Linked DNA regions of Notamacropus eugenii. The protein of the gene in region 1 purifies or fractionates together with the protein of each later gene. This does not show direct contact. Links are inferred from orthologs where the notes say so. Each region holds a gene or a part of one and is shown on either strand. Other genes may lie near its edges.

The links.
Region 2: the proteins of S100B (region 1) and IQGAP1 purify together in Homo sapiens (co-immunoprecipitation; 3 studies listed by BioGRID and IntAct, with this or other methods). This does not show direct contact. The link is inferred for Notamacropus eugenii from reciprocal best matches to the Homo sapiens genes S100B and IQGAP1.

Annotation. Positions count from the first base shown.
Region 1 is NC_092873.1:68,179,753-68,187,674, forward strand, and holds the start of S100B (protein S100-B), read right to left. Parts: upstream 3,236-7,922; 5' UTR 3,144-3,235; coding exon 3,141-3,143; intron 2,406-3,140; exon of another isoform or gene 2,319-2,405; intron 485-2,318; coding exon 329-484; intron 1-328. UniProt on the Homo sapiens protein: Small zinc- and- and calcium-binding protein that is highly expressed in astrocytes and constitutes one of the most abundant soluble proteins in brain.
Region 2 is NC_092872.1:249,260,215-249,268,212, forward strand, and holds the start of IQGAP1 (ras GTPase-activating-like protein IQGAP1), read left to right. Parts: upstream 1-4,887; 5' UTR 4,888-5,126; coding exon 5,127-5,181; intron 5,182-6,791; coding exon 6,792-6,891; intron 6,892-7,998. UniProt on the Homo sapiens protein: Plays a crucial role in regulating the dynamics and assembly of the actin cytoskeleton.

The DNA.
Region 1 (7,922 bases):
AGCTTCTCCTTTGGTGACAGAGTGTCAGTGTTAGTATCTGGGTTTGAACCTTGCCTCCAACACAAGCCAGCATACATTTAGGGTTAGGGACCTTGGGAGAGCAGTCACCTCCAGAACCTCAGCTTCCTCATCAGGAAAATGGGCCCAAGAATAGACCCTGGGGTGGAATGCTTCATGTCAGACATTCCTGAACAGCTCCAGGAATGCTCGCTCACCATTGCCACCCACATCCTCAATAGTCTGCCATGTTCCCCGGATGCCTGTGCAATCTATCCCAGTGGGTTTGGGAGGCTCAGAAGTGAGATAGACCCAGGGAGGTGACACTCACCCCTAGGAAGTGGGAGAGTTCACTGTTCATGAGTTCTTTCAGCTCTGACTTCTTCAGCTTGTGCTTGTCACCCTCTTTCGCAGAATACTGGTTGAATGTTTCGATGATGGTCATCATGGCCTTCTCCAGGTCCGACATGATGGCTATCAGATCCTCCTGCACACGCAGTGGAACAAGAAGACAGACTGTCTCTAAACATCCTGACAACAATGGATGGGCAGACATCCTTTCTGACCTGTTCCCCTCACACTTCTGATTGCTGGGAGTGATCATGACCATGATAATGATTATGGGATAACCCTCCTCCATGGGTGACCTCTTCAGTCCATCTCATGGGGTCAGAGAAGTACTGACCTAGAGGTCATCCAGGATAAACCAGCAAGAGATCACAGAGGCCTAGAACTCAGCTCCTTTGGCCCCAAATCTTTCCCTTAACTGCCCCCCCCCCCAAGAAGGTTACAAATAGGAGAAATGGGACTCAAACTCAGGTCCTCTAACTCCACCAGCATCCAGAGAATAACCAAACCTTAAGGAAAAAGGGAAAAATGGCCCAGGCCAAAAGGAAGGTCAGGAAATCCAAGTTCCTCCCTGGGTGTTGTGTAGCTGTTTCTCCTGGTTAATATTGTGTTTCCTTTACAACAACAATTAAATTATTCTTTTCAGGTTTAGAATTTTTGTGGAATGGAAAATTACTCAAAGTGTCCCCTTGGAAACAATGCCCTGGCACCATTCTAGGCTCTCTCCAGAGAGAGCCTAGCGAAGAGGCCCAGACAAGCCACTGCTGCCACCTGACTGGGCCCTGCCTGATCTTCTGAAAGCCCCAAACCCAGGTCCTGCCTGACCCCCTGACAGTGAGGTGCCCAGCCAGGCTGCTTTGACCTCCCGGTGCCTCATGAAAGGGCACAGATCACATTTCCTCCCTCTTTCTCTGACTACACCAGGAATCTTTTTTAGTGGGGAGGGAAAAGAGTGGTGGCAGAGTGCTGGGTGGAGAGCTCTATGAAGAGCAGAAGGACACCTTTCACCTAGGGGATGGGGGTGGAATCAGGGAGGGCTTCCTGGAGGAGGCAGCACCTGACTTAAAAGTGGAAAGTAAAACAGTGTCAGCTTTCCATTCCCTGAGACAAGCCAGAGGCTGGCCCACACACACAGCAAAGGGGAAGGTGCTGCCTCCACTTGGAGTTCAAAGACCAGCTCAAACCCCATTTAGTCATTTTCTCTCCTGGGCCTTGGTTTCTTCATCTGTAAAATGAAGGAGTTGGAATTGGTGGCCCCACATCCAGGACCCTAAGAATTAAATCAACCGTGAGAAGCAGAGAGTGCCTGCTCAAGTGGGTCCCTCATTGGGTCATTTACTCCTCAGAAGGAGCAAGGAGCCCTCGAGCTCCATTTAGGCACCCCTGGACATTGCTCTGTCCTGCTCCTGAGGCCTCTGGGTCACATGCCTCCAGGAGCTCACTCCCACCAAGGTTTAACTAGATCCCTCCAGCCATGTTGGAGTGGATAGCCTCCCCTGCCCCCATTGTGACAAACAACAAAAGAAGAAAGGAAACTGCAGCAAAATGAGCGGTCGACTGAGCCTGACCGGGGCTGAGAGAAATATTCCACACCCACAGTCCCCCACCTCTGCTATATCAGATTATCCCTTCAAGATTCATTTAAGTGGCTGCAAAAACTGTTCACTGTTAGATAACTGTTTGCAGCTTGTTGCCCTGGGGAATTTGGGGAAAAATCGTGATTGCTGGTCAGTGGATTGTGGGCACTCCCTCCTGAACAGCCTCTGTCTGTGGGAACGGAATGACAGGGCTGATTCGAGGACTTCAAAGCCAGGGACCTCCCCACTCCAGGCCAGGGAGGCTGGGCCCTGGACATCCCCCTCCAGGCAGCCCCTGGACATCCCACCTCCATGCCCTGCTTCAGCCCACTCCTACCCAACCCTGCCCTCCCCTGCCCAACTTTTCCACACTTCTCTATATCACATATTTCATACCGACTGAAGTCAGTCATCTCTTCACCAAGCATGAAAATCAGAACTTTTTAAAAATCTTCATTTTTTTTTTGGTCTCTCCTTTCTTCCTGGAAATGTTGGATACAATCTTTTCTTACCTCTCTTGAAGACAGAGCCTACTTTGACCTCTCAAATGAATGAGAAGGGAAGGCAATAGCAGAGCCCCCTCTGGGAAAGAAACTGGATTTTCCAAAGGGATGACAAGGCCATGGGGGAGAGCCCCACCCATCAGGGTCTGTTCTCCAAACCCAGCAGTGCCGCTCAATAAGTGCAAAGGCTTCTGGGCGGTGTCCAGGGACGATGTGCGCCTGGCGCCTAGCAGGACTCAGTAACCGCTTTGATTGATAATTAGTGTCATCCTAAATGCAGGACAACTGAGGCAGCAAGCAGTGATTCCCCACTGGCTTTATGGACGAGGCCAGGGACCAGAGAAAAGGGAATTAGATACTGTCCCTTGATCATGAGCCAAGACAGTCCAAAGGATGACGTTGGGGCCGTGGGGGGGAGGGGCGCCGGACTGGATGACCCCTACGGTCCCTCACATCCCAGATCCGGGAACCAAGAACTTCTCTGTGAGTCCCGGTTATTTCGAAACTCTCTTCTGGCTCTCAGATCTCAGGAGTGCTAAATTCCCTTCAGCCATAGGAGTGAAAATTGGGAGAAAAGGTCACGGAGCCGTTCAAAGGAAAGGCAGGGGCTTTGTCCCTGTGCCGGGATACAAAGGACAGTCAAGGACACCTCTGGGAAACCTGGGCGAACTCCCCACCCCGGCTTGCTCAGAGGCCCCTGACTCTGGGCACTCACCATGTCTCAGAGAGCTAAGTGCACCTGCCCCCTCAGCCAGAAAAGGAGCAGAACTGAACGAGATCGGTTGTCTCAAACTGAAACGGTCTCAAAACCCGCGAGTCCCCAGCAGGGCATCGAGGCAGCGGGGCGGGGGGAGGGGTGGAGGGGGCAGAGGGACAGCGGAGCAGCAGGACACCGGGGCAGGGGACAGGGGGGCAGCGGAGCAGGCGACAAGGGGGCAGCGGGGCAAGGGACGGGGGGCAGCGGAGCAGCAGGGCAGGCGACAAGGGGGCAGCGGGGTAAGGGACAGGGGGGCGGCGGAGCAGCGGGGCAGGGCAGCGGCAGGGCAGGGCAGTGGCGCGGCAGAGCTCCTACTTCTCCAAAAACCTCCCTCACTCACCTCCCTGCTGCTGCTTAGGAGTTTCTCTCGCTTGTTTCGTTGTGCCTGAGAAAGGCACCAGACACTGGCTTCTTATTCCTTTCCTAGGGGTGGAGAAGCTCTATTGACAGTAGTGCTGCCCGGCTGCAGACAGGCACGAACCAATGAGCGCTGCGGGAGGAGGCCGGGGTAGGAGGGAGCCAGCGGCTTCTTGGACCTCAGTGAGGGCAGCTAGTGGCCTGGCACACAAGAGAGCATTGACAAAGCAGGGAAACCACATGGGCCTGCTGTGGGGGCCATTAACTGATACACTGGTCTGAGAAGGAAAGAAAAGAGGGCCTGTTATCTAGAAATGTGGAGGTCAGCTTTTTGCAGCGTTGTTTATTTCTTATGAGAATTTCAAAACAGGCCTCCTGGGGTAGAAAGAGAGAAGAGAAGGGAGAAAACAAGGAGAAAGAGAAAGAAAAGTTATATAAAAAAGAGAGGAAGACAGAGAAAAAAGAAAGGGAAGGAAGGAGGGAGGGAAGAAGGGAGAGAGGGAAAGAAGAAAGGGGAGGGAGGTAAGAAAAGCAAGACAGACAGACACAGACAGACAGAATTGAAGGGAGAGACAGAGTCAGAAAGATAGAGATTGAAAGAAAGTGAGACAGCTACAAAGGGAGGTCCCAATCCCTGCTCAATCAGTGACTCTGAACAAGCAGAAGTGTTTCATCTGGTTTCCTATGAAAAAGGCTCAGTTACCCTCTTACCTGCTTCCCCTTACCTGACGCCCCTTGCCTGCTGGCACCCCCAAAGGGCTTTCCACAATGTATGTTTCTCTCTGGGCAACAGCCTTCAGCATGGACCCGTTGTCCATCGGAGTCCAGACCTGACTGCTGTTTAAGGCCAGTAGTAGCTATCACTCAATGTTTGGTAAATGAAAAAGTAAATTATTTATGAAGTATAAGGAATAAAACACTATATAGAATGCAGATAAAGTCATCCGACCACAAAGCAAATTAATGAGAAACCAGGAATGACCTCCACAAACCAAGAAAGCCCAGGAAGTGTTTTGCACCAGGAAAGCCCTGGGAGGCCATTCAAGGAGCATCGAGCTTGGAGTCTGAGGACCTGAGGACCTCAGCTCTTCCATGATTACCTGGGTGACCTTTGGCACAGTCTTCAACTTCTCTGGGTCTCAGTTTCTTCCTCTGGAAAATGAGAAAGTGACTTCCAGGTCCCTTCTGGCTCTAAGTCCATGATTCTAGGAAATCTTAACCAATCAGATGTCTCCCTGGCCAACTTCCTGAGGTTAGAGAATTATTTTAAATATTCCACCAATAAATAGGAGGTTTGGCTTCAGGGAAGAGCATGCCCTCAAAAGAGAAGAGTTTAGTTTAGCTGAGGTTTGTCAGCCAGAAGGTAGGTAATTGATAAAGACTGTCGGGAAGCATCCCCAGCCTGCTGTGCCCACACTCATGAAGGCAGCTCCAACAAGGCCCCAGAACCCTTCTCTGATTCTTAGCTTGTGCAGAGCCAGGAGATGAGTGCTAGAAGATGATGGGCATCCATACTCTACGTTGTCACCAATTGTCATGGCTGGAGCCTGCTGCTTCCATTTCTAATCTGACTACCAAACCATGAATCTGTTAGTAAGAGAGTTTGGCACTGGTTGCCTTCAGCCCACATTGTGGTCCCCTGCTTATCACTGCCTAACTCCAGAGTCATAATTAGAAATTTGAGTGACCAGGGAAAGCAGCACCTCCAACTCCACTTCATAATTCAGTTAGGTGGTAGCTGGACTCAAGTTAGACCTGAGCTCAAAAACAGCCTCAGATACATATACTAGTAAAATGGAAATCATAATAGCACCTCCCTCCCATGTTGTTATAAGGATTGAGATATTTCCAGGGTGTTTTGCAAATCCTAAAAGTGCTATATTAATGTTAGTTATTAATTTTAGAGGTAATTGAGGCAGATTCATTTAAATGAGAAGGGAGACATCAGTCCATTGCCCCTTGGGGAAGAGATTTTGGACACAAACCTTGTGGGGCCACTGCTGGGGCAGAGGAGAGGTGGAGAGTTGAACCAAGGTAGGGCATGGCCAAAGAGGTGCTCATAAGGCATGCAGCAATCTAAAAGCGTCTCAGTTTAATTCTTCTTGCATTTCATACTGTTTAAGGAATTTGGGTATTGTTACAACATAGAGGTAACCAATATAAAAATTGCTGAAACTTTTGAAATTATTCTCTTGCATTTTTTGCAACCCATTTAAAATGTTGGCCCTCTGAGATGATCATCTCACCCTAGTTAAGTTTTGGCTAGCTTTAGATTCTCAGGATTGATTCATCTCTCTCATTTGTGAGCACCAAGAACCTGTAACGAGTCCAATCCTGTACTAACTAGACTTTATGGGGGATGTGAAAGAAATGTGAGGCATGATTCCTACTCTAAGATCATACAAATTGGAGGTCCCTTTGCCAGTGAGGCCATCTGGGGCTCCATATGTCAGTGGTCCAAACATTCTGTTGGTGGAGAAAGCTCTGCAGAAAAGTCAACCATTGTTTAGAAGGGTGAAATTTCACATGATTCGGGCAGGAAGCATCTGAGCCCAATGCCTGCTATAAGGGACCAGGTTAAACACAACAGCCAAGAAACCACTGCTTCCATTCTCTTGTCTCTGAGGAGAAAGAGGCTTTGTTGCATTGCAAGCCATTAAGTTGTGGCCACACGCCTATCTCTGACTCACATCTTCCTTTAGCTCCAAAGCCTTTTGACTGGTCCTGGCCTGAAGAGACCAGTGTGATTGCTGCTGACCAGAAATATTCCCAGAGATGGGACATCCCAGAAATTTGGGTTTGGTTTCCATAATGACTTTACAATTCAATGTATCTTAGGAGAAAACACTCATCAAATGAGTGCCGCCGGTAAGGATGGCTTTCCAAGTGACAGGTTCTAATGAGGAGAAAACTCTCCATAGAATAAGACCTCAGAAAGGGCAGGACTGGGAGCCAGAGATCCCACCAGGATGACATCATGCTGCATCTAACCTTACTGGGCAAAGACCTCCCCACTCCAGAAGACTCTGGAAGAACCACAGAAGGTGGGAAGGGTACCTTCAGTAGCTTGAATGGAGTGGAATCTGGCACCTGCCTCTCCAGCATCATTCCACACTACTCCACTTCCCATGCTCAGTGCTCCAGTCATGATATCTTTCTGGTCATCATTCCATCTGGTCATCCCCCTCTCGACTCCACTTGCTAGAACCCTTAACATCCCATGGTATGCCCTCAAGCTCCACTTTCCTGGTACTCCCAACTACCCTGATCAGCTGGTACTGAGTAGCATGAAGTTTGTCTGCTTTTCTGTTCTCTTAATGCTTATTCTGCATATATGTAAACATTCTAATGCTCTGGGTTTACACAACTTGTAAGAATTGTTTAGTGTGTTTGCATCCCTGGGTCCTAGCATAGCCCCTGTCACACAGTACTTAATAAATGCATGCTGATTGTGTCACCTGACTTTCACCAGGATGCTACTCATGAAAGCTGCCACTCAGATCTCAAAAGTGAAGAGATCAGACCCCAGGCATGGGCCCCAGTGGCACTCCTTCCCTCTTAAGCTGTGAGTTTACTAGTCTAATGAGAGGTCACACCCAATCCCCAAAAGAGCAGGGACAAGAAATCTTCTGTGATCCCAAGTTTATTCTCTGGGCACATCTTAAGCAGCCCAGTCTAACCTCTTCTACCAACTACTGCCCTTTCCTCTTTTCTTTTGCAGAGAAAGTCTGCCTTTTGCCATATGAGGGCATTGTACCAAGAACATTGAGCTCATGTCTCCCCAGGATATCCAGGACAACCTACCTTTAAGGGCAGTAAAAATCTTTTGCTTCTGTCCCACACCCCCATCCTCAATAAAAAGACAGTCATTTAAAAGAGTTGAGCTCAGCCATTCACTTAAGAAATCCCAAATGGCTGAAAATGCCCATTGTCAGTCATGCCATCCATAAGGTTGTGAGGCCAGGAGCTAATCTGTCAATAACCATGGTCATGTTCAGTGCTGGAGGGATGCTTGAGGCTGTTTGCAAGGTCAAAAATATTGTAATAGTGCAGAGACAGCTAAGTGGCCTGATCGTCCCTATCACAGCTTCAATAAGAACAAGCTTTTCTACAGACCTTTAGGGTTTATGAAGCGCTATCAAGATGCTGTCTCACTGAATTCCCACAACAACCTTAGGAGGTAGGGGCTGTCATTAGCTTCATTTCACAGATGAAGAAACTAAGGCTGAAAGAAGTTGACTTGGGACAGAATTGAACTGAGGGCTTTCTGCCTCCAACAGTCCACTGCTCTGTCCACTACACCTTAGCTAGCCTGAGAGCTGGTTCTGAAGTTGAGAAAACCTGAGCCCTAACCCTGACTCTGACCCTTCCTGGCTGTGTGAT
Region 2 (7,998 bases), on another chromosome or scaffold:
TCTGATGTCTTCACTCAGCAATTTCTCTTCCTATGAGGTTTCCTTCATCTATCCTTATCACTCTGCTCAATCTTCATTGTGATCATCTACCAGCTTATCACCCTTTGCTCAAGTACCTAGTCTTCTTTTATCCTAACTCGTCCTTATCCTTTGTAACTTTGACATACATGTCTCTTCATCAACCTCTTCATCTTCAGTGACCTCTATCTCCACTCTGTCTAATCCACTCACACTTTTTACCTCACTAGAATAGCTAACATTTACATAGGATTTAAGGTTTGCAAGCTACTTTACATATGTTATCTCACCAGTACTCCACACTTGGTGATTGCAGTCTCCTGTCCTTCCATTTCTACCTTTGCCTCACTCCTGAAGCTCTTTGTCTTTACCGATGACTTCCAGTCCTTCCATCCTTTCCTGTTCTTCTACTTCATCAACCCCTACCTGTGGTCGGTCTCACTTTCCTCTCTTCTCAGTCTTGACCCTAGGCTCTAGCTAAACTAACATATTTGCTCTACTCTGAACTCAAGGTTTTCTCTTCCACCTTTGCACAGCCTTTCCCCTCTGTAATGCACTCTGTCTTTACTTCCGTCTCTTAGAATCCTAAGATTTCTTAGCACATAAAGTTCTTGAAGATAGAGACTTTCATATTTGACTTTGTATCCTCAGTAGTCTTTCCTTGTATCCTCATAGTGTCTTTCTCATTGTAGATGCTTACAAGATTTTGTCCAATGGAAATAGCTTGACCCTGTTCAGTGTTTTCTTTGATCTCTGATCAGACCCTGGCACAAACCTTTTTTGCTCAGGAAGGTTCTTTTCTAGGGTCCCAGTGATTGCTCTACCTCACCAGTACACATGATCTCCTTCCCCTTATGGATTCTATTGTGCTTTACTGTCAGGAAACAAATTGTTTCCACCATAGCTGGCAGAACTCTGTGTGCACCACTGTAAATCTTCAAGTTTCTGTAGAACTAACAATGCTCTGGGGAGCACTTGTAGACTTGAAGGAAGTCTGTAAGTAGCTCCGGAAGCTGGGTGGAGTTGGCAGCTCTATGTTCTCGTGGTGCTACAAGTTCCTCAGATCCTTTTGCCAGATGATCAGAAGATTTTTCCATGGATTCTCACTTTAAAAAAAAAAAATTTTAGACTAAAAATCTAGACTTGAGATTTCATTAACTCCAGATGTAGGAATTCTCTCCATTAACACGTCAGAAACTTCTCTGTAACTCATAGTCTGGGTGACCTGCTCCAGGGCCTGAGAGGTAGAGGCATTTGGCCCAAGAAACCACTAAACCAAGGACTAAACCTAGTCCAAATGAATGCTCGGAAGGACCTATTTGTACAAAAATATAGCAGCTCTTTTTGTGGTAGCAAAGAATCGGAAATTGAGGGGATGTCCATCAGTTGTAGAACTGATAAACAAGTTGTGGCATATGATTATAATGGAATACTATTATGCTATAAGAAATGATAAGCAGGATGATTTCAGAAAAGACTAGAAAGACTAACACAAACTGATGCAAAGTGAGCAGAACCAGGAGAACACTGTATACAGTAACAGCAATATTGTATGATGATCAGCTGTAAATGACTTAGCTATTCTCAGCAATACAATGATCCCAGACAATTTCAAAGAACTCATGATAAAGAATGCTATCTGCCTCCAGAGAAAGAACTGATGGAATCTGAATGCAGATTGAAGCATAGTATTTTTCACTTTCTTCATTTTTTCATATATTTTTTTCTTTTTGTACGTTTTCTTTTGCAACATGACTAATATGGAAATATGTTTTACATGACTACATATGTATAACATATCAAATTGTTTACTGTTTCAAGGAGGGGGGAGGTGAGGGAAGGAGGGAGAAAATTTGGAACTCAAAATGAAAAAAAAGAATGCTAAAAATTGTCTTTATATATAGTTGAAAAAAATTATTAAACCTCTTTGCCTCAGAAGAAAAAGAAATCCTCAGATAGGGCCACAAAGAATCAAACATGACTGAACAACAACAAATTCAATTTTCCAAATTTTAAATTCAGTTCCCCCTTGCACTCATTATGTGTGCAATAGTCATTTCAGGTGGTGACTACCTGGGCAAGTTAGAGGCTGCCAAAGACAATCTGTGAAATATTTTATGAGCACACAAACCTGTATATAAATGGGATGTTAGCTGTCATCTTATCCCTGTGGAATACTCAGAGGAAATATGTCTGGTTATATGCCTGTTACGTCTGTGCCACGGCTCTCACAAATATGTATTACCTGGCTTTAGTTTTTAAAAATATTCTGAATACCAAGTGAAATGAGCATTTCCATACACATATACACAATGGAACAGAATAAGAACATGGTACATGGAGCTGATGATCATTATATTGTGTGGCTTGCCCTTCTTTGAAAATATATAATATATTTAACCTTTAGCTTTTCCAGCTTTTCTGTGGTTCTTTCTGGTCTTCATTCAGTTTTTCTTTTCTGCATTTTTTTAAAAGTTGCCTCCATGACCCTCTTTTCTTTTCCCTACACTGTCTCTATGAATCTTTCCCTTTCCACCCCCAGTCTTCCAAATGGAGAAAAAGTTTTTTATAATAGCCCTTGTTATAAATATTCATAATCAAGCAGAACAAATTCTGTCTTACTTTACAAATGCATGTAGATGATATTGTGATTAAAAATATAAATTTATTCAAAAGTGTTACCAGATACATAATCACTTTTGTCAAGCATTTTCTCTATCAATTCATGCTAATAGTTCTACAACTATAAGAGGGGGAGGGGTCGCAATTCAGTTTATTTTTTTATGTTAAAAAGGACCTAAACTAAACATTTATCAGCACACTCACCCTGGGGTGTTCTAGGAAATGTTTTATCACCTGGCTCCTCAAAGTAAAAAAGATATTCAGGGAACACTTTTAAATTTAATTGACATGAAGATTTCTTTCATTATTTTCTTCAGTCTAGACAATTCACAAAACAGGCCTTGATTTGCAGCTGTTGCTGGTTTTTGCTATGTAAATATTCGCAAGAAACATTTCTGGGTCCAGAATGTCCCAGGACAATAAGTACCACCCATCTGTAAGAATTGTCAGGTTCTTTCCTGCTCTGAATACTAAAATGCAAGGTTTTAAACCTGTGTGTGTGTGTGTGTGTGTGTGTGTGTGTGTGTGTGTGTGTGTGTGTGAAAGACCTCTTTACAGTCTAGTAAAACTTATATGGACCTGTTCTCAGAATAATAATTTTAGATAATTGAAGGAAATATTACATTTTAGTGATGAGTGAAAATAAAGATGTAATTTTTCTTCCATACAAGTTTATAGATTCCCTGAAATCTATCCAATGGGGACCAGATTAAGAGTTTTTGCTATCCTATGACCAATAATTAATTTTATACATTATGACACTAAAAATTAATTATTATAAAATATCATATGTTAATGTTAAATATGTATGATAATATATAATTTTAGTTCAGCTATTTTTTTTGGTGGTCATGACTCCATTTGGGGTTTCTTGGCAAAGATACTGGTTTGTCACTTCCTTCTCCAGCTCATTTTACAGATAAGGAAACTGAGGCAAATGGATTTAAGTAACTTGCCCAGGGTCACACCAAGTGTCTGGGGCCAGATTTGAATTCAGGAAGACGAGTCTTCTGATTCCAGGCGCAGCACTCCATACACTGGGCCACCTAACTGATCATATATAATATTATAGTATAGGTCCTATGATCCCGATTCCTTTAGAGAGAGTAATGAGTTTCATCACTGAATAATAATAATAATAATAGCTAGTTTTTATATGGTTCTGAAGCCCTCTACAATATATATGTAATATATATTGTAATATACAATATACATCGTGTATATAATATATATTATGTATAATATACAATACCATATACAATACATAACATTATAAAGCAAAGTGCTTTATGTCTATGGGGTATCCCGAAAGTTTCAGTGCAGTTTTAAACGTCAAAACTTCTGGGACACTTTGTATCATTCCATTTGATGACTGACCTAGAACTAGAAGGAAACTTACAAAGTTATCCAGAACCATCTTATTTTAAGAGGAGGAAACCCGGCGGAGTGGGGCGGTGAATAGTGCTGGATCCCTGACATGAAGTCAGGAGGGAGACCTAAGTTCAGATCCTGCCTCTGACCCCCCTTAGCCCGGTGACCTTCTCTGTAAAAATGGGGATGATAACAACAGCGTTGTGAGGCTCTAATAAGCGAAGGCTTGGAAAGCTCCACTGCACCGCGTGGAGGAGGAGGCTGAGGAGGGGGAGGGGGAATAGGTGAGGCGGATGACGTCATGGGGCGCTGCGGAGGCAGGTGTGGCTCTCCCCCCTCCCTCTCCGCACAGCTGGAATGCGGCTTAGAGCTCAGGCCTGGGGAGCTCGGGGCCTACCCGAAGCCCCGACCCAGGGGAGCCCCGGGGAGGGCTGGGGGTGGGGCCGGTAAGTGTTTAACCACTGTCTCTCCCCGGAAAAAGTAGGGAGGGTGCGCTTTGAAGTTTCTTCTGCATTACGTAAAGCTCCAAGGTGGTAATTAATTTGGTAATATTTGTGGAGCGCTTCATAAACGCCGGTACCCCTCTCCACCATTAGTAACATTTCCTCCATCATCAGCCTCGAGCCCCGCTCGGTGGATTTGCCGCGCCCGCCAATTTCCGAGGGGTAAACGCTCGCACTTTAAATTTAACCACGGGCTCCCCAGAGCCCCCACCCCCAACCCCAGGGGGCGCAGGCGCGGGTTGCGGAAGGCCGGGTCGCCCCCGAGGCATCATAAAGTCAGGCGGAGAAAGCAAAGCCAGGAGAGTGGGCGGACAGAGCCGAGCAAGTTTGGGATGGCTCATCCGCCGTAAGCAGCGCCGCAGCCCATAGAGGGCGGGGGAAGGGAGGTGTGGGCGGGGCTTCTCGGGCCCCGCCTCCTCCGTCGGCCTCCACCTTCTCCCCCTCCCTCCCCCTACGGCTGCGGGTTCGGGGCGGGGCCGCGGGCGCGGGCGCGGGCACGGTCACACCCAGCGCGCCTCCGCCGCTGTCGCTGCCCCTGCCGCGCCCGGGAAGCGCTACGCCGCCTGCCTCTTCCCTCCGAGGCTTCGCCGCGCACGTCTCGCTCTTGCAGCCATGTCCGCCGCGGACGAAGTTGACGGACTGGCGGTGGTCCGGCCGCACTATGGCTGTGAGTCCGGGGTCGGGCGGGGCCGGGAGGGCGAGCCCGGGGAGGCCCAGCCGGCCCAAGGCGGAGGTGGCTCCGGTTCCCCTTGGGGCCGCGCCGCGCCGACCCGGAAGGGCAGGGCGCGCCCGTTGTCCGGGCTCTGGGGCCGCGGCCTCGGCCCCCTCCCCGATCACGCCGGGAGCTGGCCGTCCTGGCACTTCTGTCTGTCAGCTGGAGCCGGGCTGGCCGGGCTCGGGGAGGGGGTTGGCGGGGGTGGTGAGGGTGTGGATGGCCCCCAGCCCCTCGGACCCCCCGGAGGAAACACCCATCCTCCGGTGGAGGAAACTGAGGCTGAGGAGGCCCGCTCGGCAGCGCAGCCCCGTGTCCCGCGCTGGGCGGCTCCGAAGAGCGCTCCCTGCCAGTCCCGGACTGGGGGGCCCGTGAACTTACCTTTTTTAAACCATCTTGCTAAATGTTTCAGTGCATTTATTTCCTTTGTCATCTCACGTATTTTATACATTTAAAAGCAATTTGAAGAAGGGTGTCCACAGGCTCCCCACACCGACGTAGGAGTCCCTAACACCAAAAATACAAATAAACATGAGGGAGAATTGAGAATTTATGGGAGGCACGTTTTGTTGAGTGGAAAAGAGCTCTGGCCGCGTGGAGTTTAGAGACGGGGCATCTTGGTGTGGTGAAGGAATGGGGCACTCTTGGAATCAGGAGACCCAGGGCTCTAACCCACTTCTGCTAACTGTGGAACCCCAGTTGGGCAAGTCAGTTTTACTTAGGCCTCTGTTTCCCTTTTTTTCTAAAATGAGAGAATTGGAGCAGACGATCTCTAGATCACAGGAGCTGTCTCTATTCTGTGTTCTAGGTCTTTAGGAAAGATAAAATGTTATTGATTTATGTCCCCTCTCTCCTTCTGAGGGCCATCACTTCAATCAAAAAATAACAAAGCCAGGGGAAAAAAATCAGTTCAGCAAAACCAGCCAATATATGAAGAGTTTTATGTTATATGCAGTGTTCTGCACCATAGTTTCCCTCCCCTCCTTTCTGCAAAGTGGGGAGATTGCCTTCTCAAAGCTCTCATAGATCCAAGCTTTGTTCTGAAGTGTCCTGAGCCTTTCAGGGCTATAGTTTTCTTTTTACCAGGATCTTGAAAGTAATGAAGGGGAAGGGAAGGAACTTGCTTCCTTATTCAATCTGTCAAGTAATTCTGCTTTCTTAGGGTTTTGGACATTGTTACATCTGTTCTACCAGGGAAAAGGGAGACCCAGCCCAGTTCCCTTTTTTTTCCTCCTGAAAGAGGCCCTGCCCTTTGATGATGTAGGGGTTTTAGTTTCAAGTTATGCACTGGAAATAAGGTTCTTATAGATTAGCTTGTTTCATTAACAACAGTAAGATGCAAAGTCAGATATATGCTTATGTTACTACGTTTTGATAAAAATAATATAGGTGGGGCCCAAAGTCCTTGCAAGAATAAGGTCATTATATTATACCTGGCAACACTTGTTGCCAAGGGGAGTGGGAAGTTACCAAACTGAGTCAGGATCAACTGATCTGGCTTTCTTACATCTCTATAGATGTAAGCTACAGATTTCCATATTTATATAATTTCTCTTATTTTGTAGCTGTCTTGGATAATGAAAGGCTCACTGCAGAGGAGATGGATGAGAGGAGACATCAGAATGTGGCTTATGAGTACCTTTGTCACCTAGAGGAAGCAAAGAGGTAAGGAAAAGGTGGTTGGCAATAAATGGAGACAAGGATCTTGGTTTGTGTGAATTTCTCTTTGGTACTTGTGTCCGTGGGAGCTTAGGTTTGTAGTGAGGGCAAATGAGCTTAGGGCTAATTTGAAGGAACTTGGAAAATCATTTAGTTCAGGCTCCCACCCCTTACAGGACATCTAGATAACTAGTTAAGGGCAGAATTAGGGCTATATTCCAAGTCTCCTCCCTCTGAGATCTGTGCTTTTCAATGCTTAACCATACTTTATTCCCTTCAGAACATTTTCTTTTCTATCCGGTCTTGAACTTTTAGCATAAGAGGTAGCCCTTTTTCTTCTTTTTTCTGTCTTTTTTTTTAGTTTTTAGTGTAAACTTTTATAAGATTTTGAATTCTAAATTTTTTCTATCTCCATTCCCCTTTCCCCAAGACAGCAAGCAATCTGATATAGGTTATTCCTGTGCAATCATATTAAACATATTTCCACATTAGTCATGTTCTAAAAGAAGAATCAGAACAAAAGGGGAAAACCACAAGAAAGAAAAAGACATTAAAATAATATGCTTCAATCTGCATTCAGACTCCATAGTTCTTTCTCTGGATGTGGATGGCATTTTCTATCATGAGTCTTTTGGAATTGTGTTGTATCATTGTATTGCTGAGAAAAACTAAGTTATTCACAGTTAGTTGATCTTCACACAATATTGCTGTTACTATGTACAACATTCTCCTGGTTCTGCTCGCTTCACTCAGCATTAGTTTATATAAATCTTTCCAGGTTTTTCTGAAATCAGCCTGCTTATCATTATTTATAGTACAATAATATTCCTTTACATTCATATATCACAACTAATTGAGACATTCACAAATTGATGGGCATCTCCTCAATTTCCAATTCTTTGCTGAGGTGGACCTTTTTCTATGAAGTCGCTCTTATGTGTGGTCCTTCAGAGGTTTACTCCTTTCAAATTGAGCTATTTTACAAAGCTGTTATAAAAATGTTTCCTAATGCTTACCTATAAGCAGTCACCTCATTCTGGAAGCTATCACTGCTTATGAACAAATTCTCTTTTGTGCATAAATCCATCCATTCACTAAGGCTGTATTATTTGC